Linked DNA regions of Caenorhabditis elegans. The protein of the gene in region 2 purifies or fractionates together with the protein of the main gene of each other region. This does not show direct contact. Each region holds a gene or a part of one and is shown on either strand. Other genes may lie near its edges.

Region 1 (4,971 bases), on a different chromosome or scaffold from region 2:
AAATCATTTTTCACCTTTTTCGTTCATTTCTAGTCTGTAATTGTCTGCTAGCTAATAATAAATCATTGGAAATCGGAAATTCCATTTAAAATTTGCAAAAACGGCAATGTAGACTGTTTTTCAGTCAAAATTTCTAGAAGCAGTTGGCGGTTTTAATAGGAATGCGTGGTTGGCAGAGGTGGATAGTAGAAAATGTCAATGGGGAAGGGAGAGGGAAAAAATAAAATTTGAATTTCAAATCAAATCATAAACTGAAATTTCCTCCTCATCATAAATCTATGATATTGAGAGAGAGATAGATACAGTTAGACTGTCCATTCGTCTCTTTTCGTCCTAAAAAAGATGAAAAAAGTTACCGATAATGCTCACATGACCAGTTAAAATTGTTATGAATGGGTGAGAATAGAAATATATTCAGGTTAGTTTTGTATAATGATTCGGCCAAAATCTTTTTTTTTACAAAATTATGCATACGTTTGCACTATCAAGAATAAAGTTTTAACAAGAGTTTCAAATTTTCCACGACCATCAGAAACTTTCAAAAGAGATCAAAAACTAACGTGGGATTCTCTTGTGCTGGATGTAGTTCATCGACTTTCTTGATACGATTCACTAAACGACGTCGAGTACCTGAAATTTAAAAATTGAATTAACTTTTAAAAAATTAAATAAACTTTTAAATTCATAATCTTTTTTCTATCACACTTCTGCCAATTTTAACTACAACATTTTTCAAAAAATCGTACTTTTCTCTCTATCACTTCAAAAAACGTCAATTTTTAATTCGACGTCAACTTAATCCTCTTGACGTATTCATGTGTCCAATAACACTTGAACATTCCAGGGTTTTTAAATTTTATCGATGAATGAATACTTCACTTCACCAAATAAGACGATTTTCTTCTTTTTTATAATTAATTCGACTAAAACTAACCAAAATTACCAGTTGTCGATGCTGTTGTTGAGCTCACAGAGCTTGGAGGTGCTGGTGGTCGTCCACCGTTTGTTATAGACTGCAAAAAAACATTGGTTACTGTCAGGAAACGCAATTTTTTTGTTGGAAAATACATAATACAGTTTTTTAAACATGATAACTTTGAATCAATACATCTATACTATTTTTTGATTGAAAAAAAAGGAACAGTAATCACGTGATATCTTAGAGGGTTGTGTGATATTCGAGATAAACCAACGTTTCATGTTTGGTAAATTCGAATTACAGAGTTCAAACTACTACATACATAAACTTTTCGAATCTACAAAAGTTTTCGGGCGAATGGAAAATAAATATAAATTTCCATAAAGAAATTTTGAAAGCTTCTATACTCAATAAAACTAAAAACGTCTAAAAATGTTTATACGTTAAGATTGAAAATTCAATAATCATTTCAATAAAAAATTACAATTTAGCGGTAAAATGGTAGGTGTGATGACACTTCTTGTTTCAAAATTACTACGAGAAGTGTAGAAGCAACACGACTGAAACAAGTCAAACGATAGACACATCGTTTGCCTTCAAAAGGTAGAAGACGTCGTGTCTAATACCGTCGTCTGCGTCTGTTTACCACGTGCTTCTCCATTCAGTATCACTTTGATCAAAAGACACCAAAATTCGAATGAGACGAGAAAGACGAAAGGGCGGGAACAAAAACAACAAAACAACCACCCACAGTAATAAAAACATTGCAAATACTGTTAAAGGCTATTTAAAAATGCAAAATCAGATGAATTTTTAAGTAAAATAGCGGTTATACGTAAACTGGGATAGGAAATTTTTTCAAATTTATCTCGCTCGTTTAGAAAAAAGGTTATGAATTTCTTAAATTTTGAAGAATAAATTATTCAGCAAATTAAATTTCAGGGTCCTTAATTGGAGTGAAATATAATTTAAACAGCTCACCATTCTACAAGAAATATTACGACATCTGTTACATATGACTGTCATCTTTCAAAATTAATAACATAATAATTTTTAGCAGATTTTATAGTTATTTCGAGTTTAAAAATCGTAATCTTTTGTCCCATTTCTCACTCGTGCTTTCTACGATTTTTTGTTATCTTATTTTGTAGTTTTCGATTTTCGTTTTAGTCAAGATCAACAAAAATCAATTTTCACAAAGTGATTTTAGCGGTGAGATAAAAAGAAAATTGCCAAAATTTTGCTGACTTTGATAGGGATATAAAATTCGGAAATAGAAAGAAGAAAGATATAAGAAAAAATAGGAAAAACTAAATTAAATTTCAAATGGACTTTGTCCTTATAATGAAGAAACGATTCGACTAAATCCATAGATGAATGTGAATTACCCTTATTTCTTTTCGGGAAGACAAAACCGATAAAAATCGCCGATAATTTACGATATTATATGCCAATTTATACAGGAACTAGGAATATAGTGACAATTAGAATCGAATGAAATTTCCTATGAGTAATAATTTAGCTAAATTATTTAATTAGAAAATTTAAAAACATCAAAACACAGTTCTAAACCTACAAATGTATGCACCCAAAAAGAATCGGTTGACTGACCACCCAAATGCAGACATAACTGCTTTCAACTACAGAGAATATTCATTGTTAGTAGATTTAAAAGAGGATCAACCAATGTACCAGTCTTCTCATCGCTTAAACGCCCACAGATTCAAAGTACAATTCATGGTTTTGTTTCCTAGTGAAAATTAGTTTGACAACACAAATTTGATGAAGATTGTAGAATTTTTGGGCCCATTTTGATTTTCTATTTTTTGTATTAATGAAAATATACAATTTGTATTCAATTAAAAACTATAAATTTTGAAGATTAAAAAAAAACACTCACATCAGGCATTTTGTAGTCCTCGCTTCACGATTTCCGCCGATTTTCCTCTTTACAAATTATCCTTCTTTTCCAATCGAATTTTTCCGGTATAATTTAAATCAGCCACAAAAACAAGAACTCGATTTGACAAAACGAAAACAGTTCGCTGCTTCTTCTTCTTGGGAGACTTTTTTGATATATAGATATTTACTGTAGTTATTGATGAATGCGATCGATACTGTTGCTTGACAAAGACTTTTTAAATATAGGTGTCAACTAAAAATTGGATGATATCTGCATATTTCTATGTCCGGATATCAAGCGAAGAGCCCGTGCGTTGTCGGTCTGAAAACTGGTAAAATTATTTTAAAAGGTTGCAAACAGATTTTGAGAACAATAGCGTTGAGAAGAAATAATTGAAAAATTAAAGAAAATAATGATTTCATAATAAGCTTCTAGAATGTGCTGGTGAGCAAGTAATTATGAAATTATATATTAGAAGTATTAAATACCGAAAAAGAGTTAGGATTTTAACTAAAATCTATCAATCTTTGAAGAAAACATATAGGCACGTAGATTAGATAATGGTCCCGCAAGGGCTTAAATCATCGAGGGAGTGATAAAAAGTAGCGTACTAAACGTGTAGCAACTCTGAATAACGATAGATCGATCAAAACACAATTGCGAAATTGAAACACCTAAGCAACAAGCGCACTTTCAAATTCTAGGATTTAACAATGAACTGGTGAAAAAAGGCAGCATGCACCCTTGATGAATGGCACACACCGGCCTTGACCAGTGTCCATGTGTGTCTATCTAGCCGTCTGTCATGTTATACTATCTTTATGATATTTCTTGATATCAATATCAATCTATAAATGTCTTTTCTGCAGGAACACTACACACTTTGCAAGACGTAACAGAGAGAGAGAGATTATAAAAATGACATGTTCTATTATGTATTCATGGGAAATATTAATATACTTCCAGGTTTTGGCACATCATAGAAACAAATTCGAGAAGAATAGTTGTAAGAGAAATTTGTGAAAAATGTAGATTACTAACTGATAAGGTTTGCAAAATGGTTTGTGCAGACGGGAAAAATCGGAAAAATTGAACTCGGAATATTGGTTAAATTTGTTTCTCAATAATATTACGCAGCCTGGAAAAAGACTGAAGTTTAGCACTTCAAGGGTGCATTAAAAACTAGAATGCATTCCAAAAATGGAACTTGGATGACATCATCACGATTCGAAAATTGAAGGTTCTGAAGCTTTACAGCCAATTTGAGACAAGTGGCTGCAAACAGTGGCAGTCCATTAGCCCACATGTTTCTTTTGACTCATCAAAACCCGAGTTTTGATTGGCAATAATTTGTGAAGACATGAAGATAAAAGTGTAGGAGACGACAGGGAAAAGTGATTGGATCGAAGTTTAAAATGTGGCAATGTCATTTGAAAATAGGTTAAAACCTATTAGAAAAAGCATGAAAATGCGATAAAAGTTGCATAACTTCAAGTATTTACAGACACCCCAAACAACCATCTTGGTGAAACAAATAAGATGTGAATATTCAGATTTGTGTGGTCAACATGAATTACTGTATCTGAATGAGGTTTGTCACTTGAGTTTCAGCTTATCTGTGATATCTGAAAAATGACTATTTAAAACGTGCCGAACGAAAAAACCAAGATTCACCTCAACCTGCAAATATGTCAAGAATTTCAAAAACCTTTCAATCAGATACAATGCAATCAAAAAGAAACAAAATTTCGAGAAGACTATGAAAAGTATAAACTAGCAGTAACAATTGCAGAGATTTCTGTTTTAGCTATATGAACCAGGAGAATATTCATTCTAACTAAAAACTGAGAAAATCATGTGATTTTGGAGAATGATACATTTGCTGCAACAATCACAAGCACAATTATGTTTTTTTAATAGGGAAAAACGAACTCTCGTGTGACTATGAGGCAGTGTTTGAATGTTGTCATGATACTTACTTGTTCTTCTTTCTTTTCTTCTCGCCTTTTCTTTTTCCCCTCGGCCTACCCTACTCCTACACCCCCACTGTAATCACTTTCCTTATCATCAGATCATAACCATCGTCTTCTTCATCTTATTCTTCATTTTCTTCTTGTGACTGACGAGTGTCTTCACGTGATTTGACCTT
Region 2 (6,129 bases):
AGGATATATTGTTATGAAACGACTTGTACTATTCCACATAATTCAAACATACATTCCCACAGGTAATCTTTGAGATTTTGGAAGCAATTTCCAATTTTCTAGAAGACCAACTAATAAAAATAATTGATTCTTTTCAAAAAAAAACAGGAATGCTCGTCTCCATTTCATGGATGTCATTCTGGTTGGACCCGCGTGCCAGTCCAGCACGTATCTCACTTACAATCACCTCATTACTCACTTTGACGACGATGAGCAACGGAGCAAGACAGGATTTGCCGCAGGTCTCCTATATCAAAGCATTGGATATATGGTTGACATTCTCGCAAGCGTTGATCTTTTTGGTATTGTTGGAATATTCGTTTGTTTCGTATTATATGACAAAAAGGACTACGGATTGTTCACATCGGAATATGTTCTATGAGGAAAGAGTACAGGAATGCAAAAGGGAGGAGAAGGTCAGATATCGGGCTTGTTTAGGCTTCATCTTACATGTAATAGTAGAATAGCTCCTAAAGGATAATCTTGTTGGCCTAGGCTTAGACTTAGATTTAGGCTCAGGCTTTTGGGCTTAGGTCCTATATTTTGCAAAGATTTAAGGTTAAGCTTCAGTTAGGCTTTCAATTAGACTTTGGAATTTTTTTGGCTTAGGTTCAGCTTAACTTTTTTTTTAAAGTTTTTTCCTGACTCCAAAACTATTTCAGGCTCGAAAGTCGATTGTTAATAACAACAAGCCAGTAATTGCGAATAATACCGAGGGATCCGACCTGAATCGGAATAAAAAATCTCAGCAATTTTCTTTGACTCATGGAATATCCGCATGCCTTAATGAATCATCTGTAAGTTTAATTTATTAAAGTCACACGTATTCATGTATCATACATGTACATAATTTATAGGCGCTGATGTCAGTCACTCCGGTTCCTTCTCGATTATTCACCAAATTTGACACCAACAAACCATGTGCTCGATGCTCGGAGAAAAACGAACGAATAGCATTTAAAATTGACGAATGTTGGTTTAAGTATATCTACTTTTGATTTTCAAATTAGTACAATTTCAGATAGTCGATGGTTGTTTCCAACAGTTTTTTCGCTATTTTGTGTTTCCTACTGGCTCTACTTCACTTGGCGATCATCTGCTTCCGAAGGCTGACTGAGAAACTGTGTTATGTGTATCAACAGCAATAATTCCTCAATGTTATGTGTCTTTATGATAGAAGAACAATTGAAATAAATATATTAAATATAACATTTGAAACTATTTTTCTTCTGTGTTCCTACTCATAAGATTTTAATAGTATAATATAGTGTATTTTCATAAACGGTCGAAAAACTGATATTGATAGAAATCCATTAACTTCCAAAAAGGTCGTGTTCTTTTTTTCGAAAAAATAAACCGAAAACATTTTCGGTTTCGTCACGTAAATTTAGTGAGATCCTCGCAGGTATTTTGGAACTTGAACAAAAATGTACTGTGTATAAATTGTCGTCAATTGTGATGCATACACACATCCGTGTTTGCACACTCAGTGGAAAACTCAAAAATATTTTTTTGCGGTCTCCTGCGAAAATTATTTGTTTTATGCTTCAAAAAGCTGTTATTTTATCGCAATTTTTTTTTTTAATTTGAATATTTTCAGAACAGCGGGAAAACCTAAAAGACACATCAAATGACCTCCATTATCAAATTGAAAGTGTTTTCCGGTGCAAAAGACGAAGGACCTCTTTGTTACCTTTTACAAGTGGATGGTGATTATATACTATTGGATTGTGGTTGGGATGAGCGATTCGGGTTACAATATTTTGAAGAATTAAAACCTTTTATTCCCAAAGTAAGCTCATATATATTCAACTTTCTAAATTCTCAACATATAATTTTTCTAGATCAGTGCAGTTCTCATATCTCATCCAGATCCTCTCCATCTTGGCGGACTACCATATTTAGTTTCAAAATGTGGTTTAACAGCTCCTGTCTACGCGACGGTTTGTTTAATTTACATTTTTCTAATTAATTAAAATATCGTTCTAGGTGCCGGTATATAAAATGGGTCAAATGTTCATCTACGATATGGTTTACAGTCATTTGGATGTAGAAGAATTTGAGCATTATACTCTCGATGATGTAGATACAGCTTTCGAAAAAGTCGAGCAAGTGAAATATAATCAGACAGTCGTTTTAAAAGGAGATTCTGGAGTTCATTTCACAGCATTACCTGCCGGGCACATGTTAGGAGGATCCATTTGGAGAATTTGTCGAGTGACTGGAGAAGATATTGTTTATTGTGTTGATTTCAATCATAAAAAAGAACGACATCTTAATGGATGCTCATTTGATAGTATGTTAATTCTTTTAAATATTCAGATAAATTTCATATTTATATTTCCAGATTTCAACCGACCACATTTACTAATTACCGGAGCTCATCACATTTCACTTCCGCAAATGCGACGAAAAGATCGAGACGAGCAGTTGGTGACGAAAATTTTACGAACAGTACGTCAAAAAGGAGATTGTATGATTGTAATCGATACAGCTGGAAGAGTTCTCGAGCTGGCGCATCTTTTAGATCAATTATGGTCCAAGTAAGTTATTCTTTTAATTTGAAATAAAAATTATTAAAAATAAAAATTTCAGCGCTGATGCAGGTCTATCCACGTATAATCTCGTCATGATGTCACATGTAGCATCTTCAGTTGTTCAATTCGCAAAATCTCAATTAGAATGGATGAATGAGAAGCTTTTCAAATATGATTCCAGCTCAGCCCGTTACAATCCTTTCACACTGAAACATGTCACACTCTGTCATTCACATCAGGAATTGATGAGGGTTAGATCTCCGAAAGTTGTGTTGTGCAGTAGTCAGGATATGGAATCAGGATTTTCTAGAGAATTATTCCTCGATTGGTGTTCTGATCCAAGAAACGGTGTGATTTTAACGGCACGTCCAGCTTCATTCACTCTTGCTGCAAAGCTTGTCAATATGGCTGAAAGAGCAAATGATGGTGTTCTGAAACACGAAGATCGATTGATTAGTTTAGTTGTGAAGAAGAGAGTTGCACTGGAAGGAGAAGAACTTTTGGAATATAAACGAAGAAAAGCTGAAAGAGATGCAGAAGAAACTAGACTTCGAATGGAAAGAGCTAGACGACAGGCACAGGCAAATGAGAGTGATGACAGTGATGATGATGATATTGCTGCTCCAATTGTTCCAAGGCATTCGGAAAAAGATTTCCGTTCGTTTGATGGCTCGGAAAATGATGCGCATACTTTTGATATTATGGCGAAATGGGATAATCAACAAAAGTTTGTTTTATAAAAGTTTTATACGTTTGATTTGTCTTTAATTTAATTTTTTAATTTTCAGAGCATCATTCTTCAAGACAACTAAAAAATCATTTCCAATGTTTCCTTATATCGAAGAAAAAGTCAAGTGGGATGATTATGGAGAAGTTATTAAACCAGAAGACTACACTGTGATTTCAAAAATTGATTTACGGAAAGGACAAAATAAAGATGAACCGGTAGTTGTGAAGAAACGAGAAGAAGAAGAAGAAGTTTATAATCCGAACGATCATGTTGAAGAAATGCCGACGAAATGCGTCGAATTTAAGAATCGTGTCGAAGTTTCGTGCCGAATTGAATTTATAGAATATGAGGGAATATCTGATGGTGAATCGACAAAGAAACTTCTTGCTGGACTACTTCCTCGGCAGATTATCGTAGTTCATGGATCACGAGACGATACTCGTGATCTTGTTGCTTATTTTGCCGATAGCGGCTTTGATACAACAATGTTGAAAGCTCCGGAAGCCGGAGCACTTGTAGATGCCTCAGTTGAATCATTCATTTATCAAGTGGCTCTTAGTGATGCTCTTTTAGCTGATATTCAGTTCAAGGAGGTTTCCGAAGGAAATAGTCTTGCGTGGATCGATGCTAGAGTTATGGAAAAAGAAGCCATCGATAATATGCTAGCTGTAGGAACATCTAATCTCATGATCGATGATAAAAATCGAGAGGAAGACGTCAATGATCAAGAAGAAAACGGAGCCACGGAGGGTGAAGGAAATGCCGAACCAATGGAAATTGTAAGCTGAAAATATTTAAAACTATTTCAAAACATTTGGAATTTCAGGGTGAAAACGGTTCACAGGAGTCGCTGGCGATATCTGAAAGTGGAAAAGAGGTTGAAAATGGGCACACAAATGATAGTCGAACGAAAAAGGGAACAAAAGGAAAAATACGTGGAAATCTCATTCTCGATCCTCTACCGAAACGGCTAATTCCTATTCACCAGGTAAATTATAAAAATGATTTAGATTTTGTTTTAAATTAACCATTTTTTTATTTGAAAAAATGTTATTTCCACTATTATTACCACCTTTCAGCGCAATTTTTGAAAAAAAGAAGGTAGAAACATGGCCGTAACGTTCGAATCTAGATCGAACTGTTAGAAAAATTGTACAATTTTTCTGAATTTTTGAAAATGTTTTTTTTTTGTTGCAATATTGCAAAAGTATGTTGCTGCACAATAAAAAAAATTTTAGCTGAAAAAAAATCTGAAAATTTTCCAGAAAACACGAAAATTCCATTTGCGCGGGAATTAAAAAAACATTTTGATTAATTTTTGCAAAATTGAAAAAGTTATTCATGCAAATTTTTTATAGTGATATTCGGATATAACTCCCAATTTTCAATGTATTTTTAAAAACAAAATCTAAGAACCCTCACATGGTCATTTAATGTTTCCGGCGAGAAAATATCAATATTCTCTAAAAATAGTCACATTGTTTCCATCAATTTTCAAAAATGTCACTAATCCGGCCGTTTATTACGCACAAACTTTTCACCACGCAATCATACTAAGTGCTCCATTTGATAACAATAATATTAATTGTTCTGTGCATTTCTCTAGTTTGACGTCAGAGAGAACCTGATCTTTGAAAAATTTTTAAAAATCAAAAAACCATTTTATAGATTCAACTTTTTGTTTCAGGCTGTCTTTGTCAACGATCCGAAACTTTCCGACTTCAAAAACCTTCTCACAGACAAAGGGTACAAGGCAGAATTTCTCAGCGGAACTCTTCTTATCAACGGAGGTAGTCACAACTTGGCACACTGCCAACCGCACAATATTATTTTACAGGAAATTGTTCGATTCGTCGTAATGATACTGGAGTCTTCCAAATGGAAGGTGCTTTCACCAAAGACTACTACAAACTTCGTCGTCTCTTCTATGATCAGTTCGCTGTCTTGTAAAATGATCTCATATACTTTTTCAAATTCCACAAAATTCTCAATAAAAAAATTTTTTTTCCAAGAAGTTTTGACTTCTTTCAGTAGCTAGGTCGCCGCATTCCATTTCAGATAAAACCGCGAGAAATTCGCCTCCAGTTGTATGAATTTGTTGGAAATTCGGGAGAATGTCAAGGAAACCGTGCTCATAAAAAATCGACGAGCACACGCCGACTTTCCCCCTTGTTTTCAGAAATGTAGAGCATGTGATAAACAATTGAAATCAATCACAAACAGACACCATTGTACTATTTTTCATTGTTTTCAGGTGACGTGAACAGGCAAAAATAAGTCGATTATTTATATCATCATGTTTTTTGTAAACATTTGAGGCTCGGCGGAAGTTTTTTTTTTAAATTTTTTTTTGGAAGATCAAAAAGTCGAAGCATTTTTTGTTCGACATTTCAAATGTATACGGATTCTCATGGGAGCTCAATGAGCCGATTCTAATTTTTCTGATAAGAACCATCTAATCGTTTTCGTAGACTGATTACGAGTTCGTGGTAATGTCTAAAAATAGGATTTTGCACCGGAAAAGACACCTTTTTACATACATGAGTTTTGATCTTTTTTCTGTTATTACGGGAAAACACAAATTTCTGAGAATGCGTATTGCACAACATATTAGACGCGCAAGATATCTCACAGCAAAAACTACAGTAACCCTTTAAATGAGTACTGTAGCGCTTGATTTTTGAAATGAATCGATATAATATTAAAATTAAAAAGAGGCAAATTGAATATCGATGTCACTAATCGAAAAGAATAATCTATTTCAAAAATCTAGCCCGTGAATCGACACAAGCGTTACAGTACTCATTTAAAGGGTTACTGTAG

Evidence for each region.
Region 1: the proteins of cpsf-2 (region 2) and wnk-1 fractionate together in Caenorhabditis elegans (co-fractionation; one large-scale study listed by BioGRID). This does not show direct contact.

Annotation. Positions count from the first base shown.
Region 1 is NC_003282.8:9,198,288-9,203,258, reverse strand, and holds the start of wnk-1 (Serine/threonine-protein kinase WNK), read right to left. Parts: upstream 3,154-4,971; 5' UTR 2,829-3,153; coding exon 2,820-2,828; intron 1,014-2,819; coding exon 935-1,013; intron 631-934; coding exon 561-630; intron 1-560. UniProt on the Caenorhabditis elegans protein: Serine/threonine-protein kinase component of the WNK3-SPAK/OSR1 kinase cascade, which plays an important role in the regulation of electrolyte homeostasis and regulatory volume increase in response to hyperosmotic stress.
Region 2 is NC_003283.11:7,177,539-7,183,667, forward strand, and holds cpsf-2 (putative cleavage and polyadenylation specificity factor subunit 2), read left to right. Parts: upstream 1-1,633; 5' UTR 1,634-1,669; coding exon 1,670-1,831; intron 1,832-1,883; coding exon 1,884-1,982; intron 1,983-2,028; coding exon 2,029-2,335; intron 2,336-2,386; coding exon 2,387-2,582; intron 2,583-2,634; coding exon 2,635-3,303; intron 3,304-3,364; coding exon 3,365-4,085; intron 4,086-4,132; coding exon 4,133-4,294; intron 4,295-4,993; coding exon 4,994-5,096; intron 5,097-5,143; coding exon 5,144-5,256; 3' UTR 5,257-5,320; downstream 5,321-6,129. Other genes in the region: lgc-39 (Ligand-Gated ion Channel), read left to right, coding at 1-62, 148-455, 702-836, 897-1,011, 1,061-1,152. UniProt on the Caenorhabditis elegans protein: CPSF plays a key role in pre-mRNA 3'-end formation, recognizing the AAUAAA signal sequence and interacting with poly(A)polymerase and other factors to bring about cleavage and poly(A) addition.